3 linked regions of the Callithrix jacchus genome follow. The protein of the gene in region 1 binds, or shares a complex with, the protein of each later gene. Links are inferred from orthologs where the notes say so. Each region holds a gene or a part of one and is shown in the gene's direction. Other genes may lie near its edges. The genes, in order: GTF2F1, GTF2A1 and POLR2E.

The links.
Region 2: GTF2F1 (region 1) and GTF2A1 share a complex: the UniProt entries of both Homo sapiens proteins name them as parts of the TBP-based Pol II pre-initiation complex. The link is inferred for Callithrix jacchus from reciprocal best matches to the Homo sapiens genes GTF2F1 and GTF2A1.
Region 3: GTF2F1 (region 1) and POLR2E share a complex: the UniProt entries of both Homo sapiens proteins name them as parts of the TBP-based Pol II pre-initiation complex. The link is inferred for Callithrix jacchus from reciprocal best matches to the Homo sapiens genes GTF2F1 and POLR2E.

What each region holds. Positions count from the first base shown.
Region 1 is NC_133523.1:6,031,089-6,034,733, reverse strand, and holds the start of GTF2F1 (general transcription factor IIF subunit 1), read left to right. Parts: upstream 1-731; 5' UTR 732-885; coding exon 886-897; intron 898-981; coding exon 982-1,028; intron 1,029-1,838; coding exon 1,839-1,911; intron 1,912-3,645. UniProt on the Homo sapiens protein: TFIIF is a general transcription initiation factor that binds to RNA polymerase II and helps to recruit it to the initiation complex in collaboration with TFIIB. It promotes transcription elongation.
Region 2 is NC_133509.1:116,182,395-116,186,138, reverse strand, and holds the start of GTF2A1 (transcription initiation factor IIA subunit 1), read left to right. Parts: upstream 1-1,068; 5' UTR 1,069-1,509; coding exon 1,510-1,539; intron 1,540-2,471; exon of another isoform or gene 2,472-2,545; intron 2,546-3,315; exon of another isoform or gene 3,316-3,499; intron 3,500-3,744. UniProt on the Homo sapiens protein: TFIIA is a component of the transcription machinery of RNA polymerase II and plays an important role in transcriptional activation. TFIIA in a complex with TBP mediates transcriptional activity.
Region 3 is NC_133523.1:1,037,340-1,041,077, reverse strand, and holds the start of POLR2E (DNA-directed RNA polymerases I, II, and III subunit RPABC1), read left to right. Parts: upstream 1-842; 5' UTR 843-867; coding exon 868-924; intron 925-2,811; coding exon 2,812-2,986; intron 2,987-3,738. Other genes in the region: uncharacterized protein LOC144580922, read left to right, coding at 216-380, 527-777. UniProt on the Homo sapiens protein: DNA-dependent RNA polymerase catalyzes the transcription of DNA into RNA using the four ribonucleoside triphosphates as substrates.

The sequences.
Region 1 (3,645 bases):
CCCAGTAAGCCAGCCAGCCACCCCCACGACGTTACTCTTCTCCGGGGGCCTCAGAGCCCTGCCCATTTGGGGCAGCTTGGACTTGCAGAGACCCATCCCGCCAGCAGCCCTTGGGGTGGTCGCGCCCCGATTCCGGGCAGGCTCTGACCCCTCCTGGCTCGGCTCAACGTCACAAGGGTCCCCGCTCCGGTCATTTTGCGGGAATGACGGGGTCCACCCCTTCTGGGCAGGTAGAGGAAACGAACCCCAAACAGGCCCATAGGGAGCCAAGCGGCAGTTCGACTGGACCCGAGTAGGCCTCAGTTGCTATGGTGACGCGGCCTTCCAAGCCCCAAAGTCCCGAGCGGCATGACGCATGCGCAAAGCGCCTGGGAGCCCGCAAGGAGGACTAGCTTCCTTCTTCCCACCCAGGATGCCCTGCGGTCCTTGGGTGCTGACGTCACGAAGGAGGGCGGTCCCACATTTGATGACCGCACTGTACATAGGAGCATCAGCGACCAAGGCCGGTTATTTGATCTCAGACTCGGCCTTGTTGCGTCTGAAAAGGGGCAGGGGTGGCTCTTTTGAGGTGGCCATAGACGCCGAGGAACATAAGTGACGGCGCATTGAGGTAGCCACAGCCGCTTAGAAGGTTGCCATCGCGACGCGGCCGCTGGAGGGTTTAGCTTCCGGGTTAGGCGGCCGCGGAGGCGTAGACGGAATAACCTGAACGCCTCTTCCGGTTACCCTTTCCCAGTGCCAGAGGCGCCTAGGGTAGGAATCCTCACACGGGGACCGGAACAGAGACCCGACAAGGAACGGCGGCTTCCCCGAGATCGAGGGACGCGCTAGCCAGAGGAGAAGAAAGGAACCCGGGTCGGACCACGGAACCACTGACCATTGCCCATGGCGGCCCTAGTGAGTGTGGATTTGGCGGGGTTCGGGGGTCCCGGCGGCGACCTCGGCGGCACCTTACTCACCGTCCGCTTCCTCTTTCCGCAGGGCCCCAGCAGCCAGAATGTCACTGAATACGTCGTTCGAGTTCCGAAGTAAATCCCCTACCCCATCTCCCACTCCTCTCCACCCCGCAAAAGTGAAAACCTTTACGGTCCTCTTAGCCTGACGTTTCTGGCCCTGTCTGTGGTTCTCCCTCCAGACCGGGGGACTTGGAGGGCAGGGCTGCGATTAAGCTGAGGCTTCTCTGGAGGCAAACACTGCTTTTTGTATGAATGAGTGCATTAATACACAGCACGATTCAGCCTCCTGGCCTAACGTTCGAGAGCATATGATGCCCAGGCTGTCTCGTCCTCTTTCAAAGCGAGCAGGCTGCCTTTCCTTTCCAGGCCTTTGTACATCCCGTTCCCTCTGCCATGAGTGCCTCCCCTCAGCCCCCAAACGGTGACTCTGTTGGGTGAATTCTTGTTGATTCTGCAAAACTCAGCTCCAGTATCATCTTCCTCCAGGAAGCACTCCCTGACTGACCTCCCTCCTCCCCAAGGCTGAGTTCCCAATAATCTCCACATCTTGGGTTTCTCCCAATCTTTGTTCCTCCATTTGTTCTTCGTCTGCACGCAGTTAAGAGGGGATGGGGTCTAGCTTCTCTGGCAGACTGGGATTCCTGCAGTCTTCCGTATCCAGTGTTGACAGGCAAAACAGACTGAATGAACCAGGGTGGGTTTGTTGAGTGACTGAATTAATGATTCAGTGGAATGGAATGCTTGAATTAATGGTTCAGTTGAATGGAACGATCGAATTAATGATTTGATTGAATTAATGATGTGTTCACATTGATTGATTAAATTAATGATTGAATTGAATTGATGTATTGGATTGGCTCTATCTCTTCTAATCCACTCTAGGAATACAACCAAAAAATATAACATCATGGCTTTTAATGCAGCTGATAAAGTCAACTTTGCCACGTGGAATCAGGTAAGTCCCTGGGTCCTGGGGGTCGGGGGCTGGGGTGGTGAGAGAACCTGACCCTGACCTTGGTGGTTGTAATAGTTGCTTAGCTGTCATAGTAACTAAGTCTTAATTTTCTCACTTTTCCCAAGTGGAGATAAGGTAGATGACAAAGAGTTGGGTGCAGTAGTTTGTACCTGTAATCTTAGCACTTGGGAGGCCAAGGCAGGAGGCTTGCCTAAGGCCAGGAGTTCAAGACCAGCCTGGGCAATATAGCAAGACCCTATCTCTACCAAAAATAAAATAATTAGCTGGATGTGGTAGTGTGCATCTGTAGTCCTGCACAGGAGGCTGAGGTAGGAGGATCACTTGACCCCAGGAGTTGAAGGCTGCAGTGAGCTATGATTACACTACTGCACTCCAGCCTGGTGACAGAGTAAGACCTGTCTCAAAAAAAAAAAAAAAAAAAAAAAAAGATGGCAAAGGCCCAGGCCAAGCTCCTGGGTGTCCCTGTAAGTTACGTTTAGTAGGACCACAGGAGGCCATTCCTTAATGGAGAACATTTAGAAGTTGTGCCCACTGATGGCCATTTTTGCCAAGGTTTATCTGGCTGAGGGAGGGGACTGGGCTAGGGCCTTCCCCAGAGCCCCTGCCATCAGAGGCTCTAGAAAGGACTGTGGGAGCCATTAAAGCATCCTCCACGGGGAAGTTGTATTGTGATCTGGCTGCTGTGGGGAGGCAAACTGTGGGTTTGAGGGCGGATAAAGGGAGAACAGGGTGGAAGCAACTGGGCTGACTGGTCTAGGTGAGTCCTGGCCTGGGGATGTGGAGGCCGTGAAGGTGATGAGATGTGGCTGGATTCTAGAGTGTTTTGGAAATGGTACATATGGACCTTGAAGCAAGAGCTTAAGGGTAATTGGGACCTTATTGGCCACATAGGTCATGATTAATGGTTACATTTTAGAGATTTTGGTGTCTTACTGTCAACAAGTTTGGCACAATGAATTTCTTTTTATTTATTTAAATTTATTTTTTTGTGATGGTGTTTCACTTTTGTTGCCCAGGATGGAGTGCAATGGCACGACCTCAGCTCACTGCAACCTTCAACTCCCAGGTTCAAGCCATTCTCTTGCCTTAGTCTCTCATGTAGCTGGGATTACAGGTGCCCACCCCCACTCCCACCTAATTTTTGTATTTTTGGTAGAGATGGGGTTACACCATGTTGGTCAGACTGGTCTCGAACTCCTGACCTCAGGTGATCCACCCACCTTGGCCTCTGAAAGTGCTGGGATTACAGGTGTGAGCCACTGTGCCTGACCTTTTTATTTTCTTTCTTTCTTTTTTTCTTTTTTTTTTTGAGACGGAGTTTTGCTCTTGTTACCCAGGCTGGAGTGCAGCGCGATCTCGGCTCACCGCAACCTCCGCCTCCTGGGTTCAGGCAATTCTCCTGCCTCAGCCTCATGAGTAGCTGGGATTACAGGCACGTGCCACCGTGCCCAGCTAATTTTTTGCATTTTTAGTAGAGACGGGGTTTCACCATGTTGACCAGGATGGTCTCAATCTCTTGACCTCGTGATCCACCCGCCTCGGCCTCCCAAAGTGCTGGGATTACAGGCTTGAGCCACCGCGCCCGGTCGCTTTATTTTCTTTCTTTATTTTTTTGAGATGGAGTCTTGCTCTGTTGCCCAGGCTAGAGTGAAGTGGTGTGATCTGTGCTCACTGCAACCTCTGCCTCCTGGGTTCAAGCAATTCTCCTGCCTC
Region 2 (3,744 bases), on another chromosome or scaffold:
CAGGTCCCTCAAAATTCCAGGGGCTCCGTTCTGCTTGTAATGTTGATATAAAGGCAGGATTTGTTTGGACAGAGGAGGTCAAAAGCTTATTGGATTGCACTTCAAGACACGGGCACAGCCGCCGTGCTCTCTTATAACTAGAGGCCAAGCGATTTGGGTCAAGGGCATGTGTTTCAATGTGATCAGTCACTACACGTTGGCCATGCGGAGTAGTGGGATTTTGGCAGTATTTTTTAAAACCAGGGAAAGTTATTGTGCTGTTATAATCCAAAGGCTGGTGGGGTTGTCTCCCCTACTCCCCGCACCGCATTTCCACCACCGTGACAAATTATTTAAAGTACGTGGGCTAGTAGGGAACTAATCTCTGGGTAACCTAAGTAAGCCTGGTCTTCGTAGCGGACCCAGTGTGGAAACAAACCAAGTCAGAGGTTAGTAACTCTGGAATGTGAAAGTGGGCCCCAATCGGCTTTTACTCCCATTGGGAAATTCTACATAATTCTGCCCGCGAAAGACCCACCCTCGGCGAGGAGCGAACGCTCCGAGGCTCACAGTCAAAGCCTCGCTGACAAATCAAGAGATGACTCCGCATTTAAAACCGTCCCGAATCGGAACCCGCCAGAGGCCGGAAGCCGCACCACGTGACCAGTTCTCCGCGGCCATTCCTAGCGAGGCAGTCGCTACCGCTTGTCTCATTTCCTAGCTCCTCCAGCGCGGGACCGGGCGGAAACGTGCGACAGGAGGCGGTCCCACCTAGCTTTGGACTGGAATGTCACTAGAACTCGCGCCTTTTCCAGAAACGCTTTGCAAGTACTTCACCGCAAAGAACTGCGGCAGACTTCCGCCTGGGTGCCAACCACGTGATCACGCGAGAGTTGGAGAGGCGTAGGTCCGACTTCACTACTTCACTACCCAAGCTCCGCCAGTCGAGCACCCCCACCGCGCGTGACGACGCGGCTCGCGGCGGCCTCCGCCCCGACGCGCCTGCGCACGCGGCTCTCGCGGTGTCTCGCGCTCAGCCCCGCCCACCTCTGCCCCCGCCCTTTCCACCCCTCCCTCCCCCATCACCCTGTCTCTCAGCGGCGGCGGCGGCGGCGGCGGTTCGCGCAGCTTGTTGGCTCGCTATATAAAGGAGAGAAGCGAGCGGACCGGACGGCTGGAGCTGCAGCCGGTGGCAGCAGCGGCGGCGCAGGGAGCGGTGACCGGTGGTGGTTTCCCTCCTTGGCGCGGGGTGGGGAGCGGGCAACGCCCCCGGACCCCTTAAGGGTCGTGGATTTTTTTTTAAAAAGACGATTCTCGAGGTTTTTAGCTGCGGGAGGAGTGCCCCCCTCCTCCTCCTCCTCCTCCTCTCCGCTCTCCCCTACTCCTTCAGGATTGATTTTGTTTAAGTTTTTTTCCCCAATCTTGCGGTGACTTGGGTCACCCTCGGGTGTTTTAGTATTTTTTTTTTTTGGTTTTGTTTTTATCTTGTTTTCTTGGGGTTGCCCCCTCTTGTTTGTGTTGTGTGTGGAAATGGCGAACTCGGCAAATACAAACACCGTGGTAAGGACGTGGTTCGGTGGCCGGCGGGGGCTTCGTTCAGGCGGCAGCAACGGCCGGACCGGGCGGGGGCGGGGACGGCGGCGACTCCCGGCCTCGACTCTTCAGCCGCCCGCGCGGCCGCCGCCGCTGCCGCCGCCGCTTCCCGCCTCGGGCGGATCGGGCCGGGGCGGCGGGCGGCGGGCGCGGGGGGGCGCCGAGGGCTCGCGGCTCGGGGAGGGCGGGGGCGCCGGCGGGGCCTGGGGCCGCCGCGGGCCGGGTCGGGCCGCGGAGGCGGTTGGGCCCGGGCGGGCGCGCAGCCCCGGCCCCAGAACCCGGCCCCCGGGAGGGAGGGCGTGAGGGGAGCCGCCGCTTCCCCCCGAGGGGCCCGTCCGCGCTGGCTAGACGATGGCTCCCCGAGCGGCTTAAGAACAAAAACCGTGTCTGGGGAATCGGGCGAACCCCTGAGACCCACCGTGATCCACTTTAATGCAGTGGAGGATTAATGGCTACTTTTGGGGGTTACTTAGGTTTTTTCCTGGCAGTTGTGCTTTGGGAACCTTCACTGGGGCCATTTTATGTTTAAAAAAAGGACTAAGGTTGTTTGAAAAGCACTTATCTCAGTTCCTTCCGAATGGGTAAAATGGCGAAGGGGAAGCAACCCCCCCCCCATCGTATCTTCGACTAGCAAAAGCACCAAAACAAACAAAAAAAGCCTACAGTGGTCCAAGTGTCCCTGCTTTCGCCTTGAAATTTGCCTACTTCTTCCCGTTGGTCCCTTTTTGGTTATTTGCGATCACGTAGGTTTGCAAAAAGCAGTCACATAAATAACCTTTTCAGTCACCAACGCAATGTGATCACTAGTCCCCCCAACTCTTATTTTTATATGACAATAAAACACGTTTTTGCCCGGTCCCAAATGCCGCAGACTAGCCCGCGGCCGCCCGACACCGTACCGTTGGCGACTCGGGTCGATCCATCATGGCTGCGGCCGCTTACCCTGCTTTTCAGTCCCTGAGCTTTGTGGTCCTCCTCCCTTTGGCTGCCCTGTTTATATAGAGCCATTGCCGCTCTCTAATATAGACTCTGCCAGGATGGGTAGGTGCTTTTCAGGCCTACGTCACCGCCTCTCCATTTAAACACCAGATCCGGCTTTAAATAGTGAGAGCTGCTGAGAGCGGGGCTGGGAGGTGCGTGCTCCCGAGGCGAGAGCCAGGCGCGTGCGGAGCTCAGTTTATTTGTAGGTCCTTTTTTCACGCTGTAATTTCGCGCCTGTCGGGGGCTGCTTTCAGAGCCCCAAGTTTTTGTTTTGTTCCTAGCAGCAGCTAGGAATTACCTTCTTTTGTTTGTTAGGGGAAATATATCCGAATCGCTGTCCGTTTTTATTTACAATTTTCAAAATATGAAAACAAAGAATTTTTGATCAGATAGTCTAGTGATTTTCCTGTGTGCATTATTTTCAGGAATTAAAAAAACTGCTTTCTACAAAGTGTTAGCTGCAGAGGACTTGGTTTTTGTTGTATTTTGTTCAAATATTCAGGAAACAGGTTAGAAATACAGCTCCTAATATTTCATTATGTTTTTCTATAGTAAATCTAAAAGACACGAGGCCTTTCAGAGAAATAGATAAGTGCCTGAAGCTTCAGAATAGGACCATTTATGTGTAGGGGAATCGTGAGTAATTAGAGGGAAGAGACTTAGTGCAAACTGGATTTTAAAAAACTGTTAAGTAGAACTTTATCGCCTTGGATATTATTAACACAGTATCCAGTATAAAAATTATTTCAATTTATTTTTCAGCATTGCATCAGGGAATTAACATTTTTGAAGGAAACCTCCTAAGAAATCACTTAATAATGCCACTAGTGGCCCTCTGATAAACCAGTTTTCAAGTTTGAAATACCTGTCTTTTTAAAAATCAGGACAAACCTAAACTATTTCGTGAGAAACGGAAACTTTGACTCAATAGAGTGAAGAATTTTAGGTACTAGTTTATAAATTGCTTATTTCAAATAATGCCTATGTGCCCACATAGTTTTCAAAAATTCGTGTCTTGAGTGCTTTTCAAATTGTGAACAATTCTAAATTATTCATTGGGCATATACTTTGTGAAGCATACACGTTTCCCTTCTTTAAACTATAGTGCTTATGAAGCTGTTAAGTGATCAAGTTGTGAGTTCATTAAGGCACAAAAATAAAATCTTAAAGAATGATTCATTAAGTAGAGGA
Region 3 (3,738 bases), about 5.0 Mb from region 1:
CCATGCCCAGCTAATTTTTTTGTATTTTTAGTAGAGACGGGGTTTCACCATGTTGGCCAGGACGGTCTCGATCCCTTGACCTCGTGATCCACCCTCCTCGGCCTCCCAGAGTGCTGGGATGACAGGCGTGAGCCACCGCGGCCGGCCTGATTTATTCTTTAACAGGAAAGGAAACTGTAAAAAGGAACCTTTCTACTTCCCACTGTTGGAAATAGATGGTCGGTGCCACAGAGAAAAATCAGCACTGAGACAAAGGCTCTTTGAGCAACGCAGTTTTGACTTCGTGGACTGCAGGAGGGCTCCTCTAGAGAGATGCCCAGCTCTACCCGAGCCTCCCAGTTATCCGTCTAAACGAGGGACACTTCACTGCCATCGCACAGGTAGGGAAACTGAAGCTCACTGGCACTAAAGGGGACATGGGCTGGATACAACAAAGAGAACCCTGTAGACTTTGGTGTACAAATATTTACAGTTCTCACTAGGCTGACCGCCCCTAGGAGCTGAGCTGCCCCTTGGCCCCATCTAGGCCTCAGTTTCCCCACCCACGCTCCGGCCCCGCTCCGTGGGATTCTAAACCGCTGCCCCAACGTGGGAGTTGAACGGAAACTACAACTCCCGAGAGGCCGAGCGGCCAAAGACACGGGAGAACTGCGGAGCGAGAGTCTCGTGCAGCCAACTGTCGCGCTCGTAAGGCTCGGGTTGCCCTTGGCGCTGCCGGTCCCAGATGTTGCTGCAGTCAGGCCTTCGCGGAAGGCAGCCCAGCTCCGGGCGGGGTAAAGCGAAGGGGACCTGACTGGCGTTCGGCGCAGGCGCAGTCCGCGCGAGACGTCACTAGCGCATGCGTAGGGGGTGCGAGTGGCGACCGCCATGGACGACGAGGAGGAGACGTACCGGCTCTGGAAAATCCGCAAGACCATCATGCAGGTCAGCCGCGCGCCGGGCAGCTGTTTAGAACCGTGGGGTGGGGCCGGGGGCGCAAGAGGTGGGTGCAGGGGCACGAGGTGGGGTCGAGCTCGGCCTCTTGGCGTAGTCCCGTCGGAGCAGCAGCGATGAAGGGGCGGGCGGTGACGGGAGGCCTCGAGGCCGCCGGGGTTCTCAGGCGCTGGGCCCGACCTGAGCCGGCAGCGGGGAGGGGGATTTCGGGACGTTTGGGTGCGGGAGCTTAGGGGTGGTCGGGCGGCTCGGGCCTGGTGCGGCGCGCGTGGCGGCAGGAGGAGGAGGAAGGGGCGCCCCCAGACCCTGCCCCGCTCTGTGGTTCCGCGGCGCCTTTTGTCCCCGCGTCCCGGACCCCCGGGGGTCTCCGCATCCGAGGTTGGCGGAGTTGGTGGTTGGGCAGCAGCGACCGAGCTGGGGCGGGAGATGGGGACGTGGAGCCCGGAAGCCGTGCCTCGGGGCCTGGGGCAGACGGAGGCCGCGGGGCTGAGTCGGGTTTGGAAGCCGCGCGGTTCGGAGTCCGGCTCCAGCCTTTGGGGCCGTTCCAGAGCTTTCGCTTTGTCGTCCTTCCCCACCCATTGCCCTTGTCCTCAGCGAAGCCCACGCAGCCGGATTCTCCCTCCTCCGGGCCTCGCTGGGAGCCTGTAGTTCAGTTTCCGTCCTTGTCTTTTTTTTTTTTTTTTTGAGACGGTGTTTTGCTCTCGTATCCAGGCCGGAGTGCAGGGGCGCGCTGTCGGCTCACTGCAGCCTCCGCGTCCCGGGTTCAAGCGATTCTCCTGCCTCAGCGTCCCGAGTAGCTGGGATTGCAGGCACCTGTCACCACCCCCGGCTGAATTTTTTTGTATTTTGAATAGAGGCGGGGTTTCACCATGTTGGCCAGGCTGGTCTGCAACTCCCGACGTCAGATGATCTGACCGCCTGGCCCCCCAAAGTGCTGGGATTACAGGCCTGAGCCACAGCACCCGGCCCCCTGTCTTTTTTTCTTTTTCTCTTTTTTTTTTTTTAAGACGGAGTTTCGCTCTTGTCACCCAGGCTGGAGTGCAATGGCGCGATCTCGGCTCACCGCAACCTCCGCCTCCTGGGTTCAAGCAATTCTCCTGCCTCAGCCTCCCGAGTAGCTGGGATTACAGGCGCGCGCCACCATGCCCAGCTAATTTTTTGTATTTTTAGTAGAGACGGGATTTCACCATGTTGACCAGGATGGTCTCGATCTCTTGACCTCGTGATCCACCCGCCTCGGCCTCCCAAAGTGCTGGGATTATAGGCGTGAGCCACCGCCTCCGGCCCTTTTTTTTACCCCCCCTAAAAAAAAGACAAGGGTTTTTCTCTGCCTTCCAGGCTGCAGTGCAGTGCTGCAGTCATAGCCGGCTGCATCCTCAAATTCCTGGCCTTAAGCAGTCTTCCTGCCTCAGCCTCCCTAGCACTCAGATCACAGTTCTGAGCCTTCGAGCCCGGCTTCCCTCCCTGTCTTTAGGGTCTCTCTGAAAAGTGGTTTGGAGGGCTGGGTGTGGTTGCCAGGTTTGTGCCCTGCCAGGTTCCTGTGAGGCTGGGCCCTGCAAGCCTCTCAGGATCATACTGGTCCCATCCTGTGGTGTGGCTGTGGGGGTAGGGTGGCTGTCCCAAGGCTGAATGAGTGTTCAGCCTTCTGTCCTCTGCAGCAGCTGCAGGTCTGACTTCTGGGTCATGAGATCTGGCCCCCTTCCTCCATCTGCCCTGAGGTCAGCTGGCTCGCTCTTTTTTTTTTTTTTAAATAAAGGGGTTTCACCATGCTGGTCTTGAACTCCCGACCTCAGGTCATCCGCCCGCCTTGGTCTCCAAAGTGCTTGGATTACAGGCGGGAGCCACCACACCCAGCCACCTGGCTCTTTCTTTCTGCAGCTGTGCCATGACCGTGGCTACTTAGTGACCCAGGACGAGCTTGACCAGACACTGGAGGAGTTCAAAGCCCAGTTTGGGGACAAGCCGAGCGAGGGGCGGCCGCGGCGCACAGACCTCACCGTGCTGGTGGCACACAACGATGACCCCACCGACCAGATGTTTGTGTTCTTTCCAGGTGAGCAGCACCAGCTGAGGAGCCAGCTGCCAGCATCCGCCTCCTGCCCAGCTCCTGTCCCTCTGCCCAGTCTGGGGGAAAGGCTCCCCTCCCCTTCCTTGTTTGGGGTGATGCTGTTGACGTCTGATCTCTCTCATGCAGCATCTTTCTAGTTTCCCTCTTATCAGTCCCCTTCTCTCTTCCCTGACCATTTCCTCCAACCAGGATTGTCACGTGGGCCTCTCCACTTACCCCAGCCCCCCATGACCTTGTGTCCCTCAGCTCCCCCATCCTGGCCACTGGGTGCCCTTCCAGCTTCTTGGCCTGGCCTAGGAGGCCCTATCCAGGTCAGAGCAGCCTCCTTGTGAGCTGCGGCCCTGGCCGCCCTAACCCGCCCCAGCCCATTCCCCGCCCTGTCAGCGTCTGCTCTTTGTCCCTCAAGATTGTGCGGGGGACTCTTTTCCCGGGTCCCCTGGGACACTTGGTGTCAGCACTTTCTCTGTGGAGTCTCCCCCACCTGTCTGCCTCCCCATTGTGGCTCTAAAGCCCTCCGAGGTTGGGGGACTGAGAAAGCCTTATGTGCATAGCCCAGCACCTAGAATCAGTGTGGAGGATGGAGCCTGTCTGCTTAGTGGACCTGGTGAGGCTCTTTTTTTTTTTTTTTTTTTTTTCTTTTTTTTTTGAGATGGCGTTTCGCTCTTGTTACTCAGGCTGGAGCGCAATGGCGCGATCTTGGCTCACCGCAACCTCCGCCTCCTGGGTTCAGGCAGTTC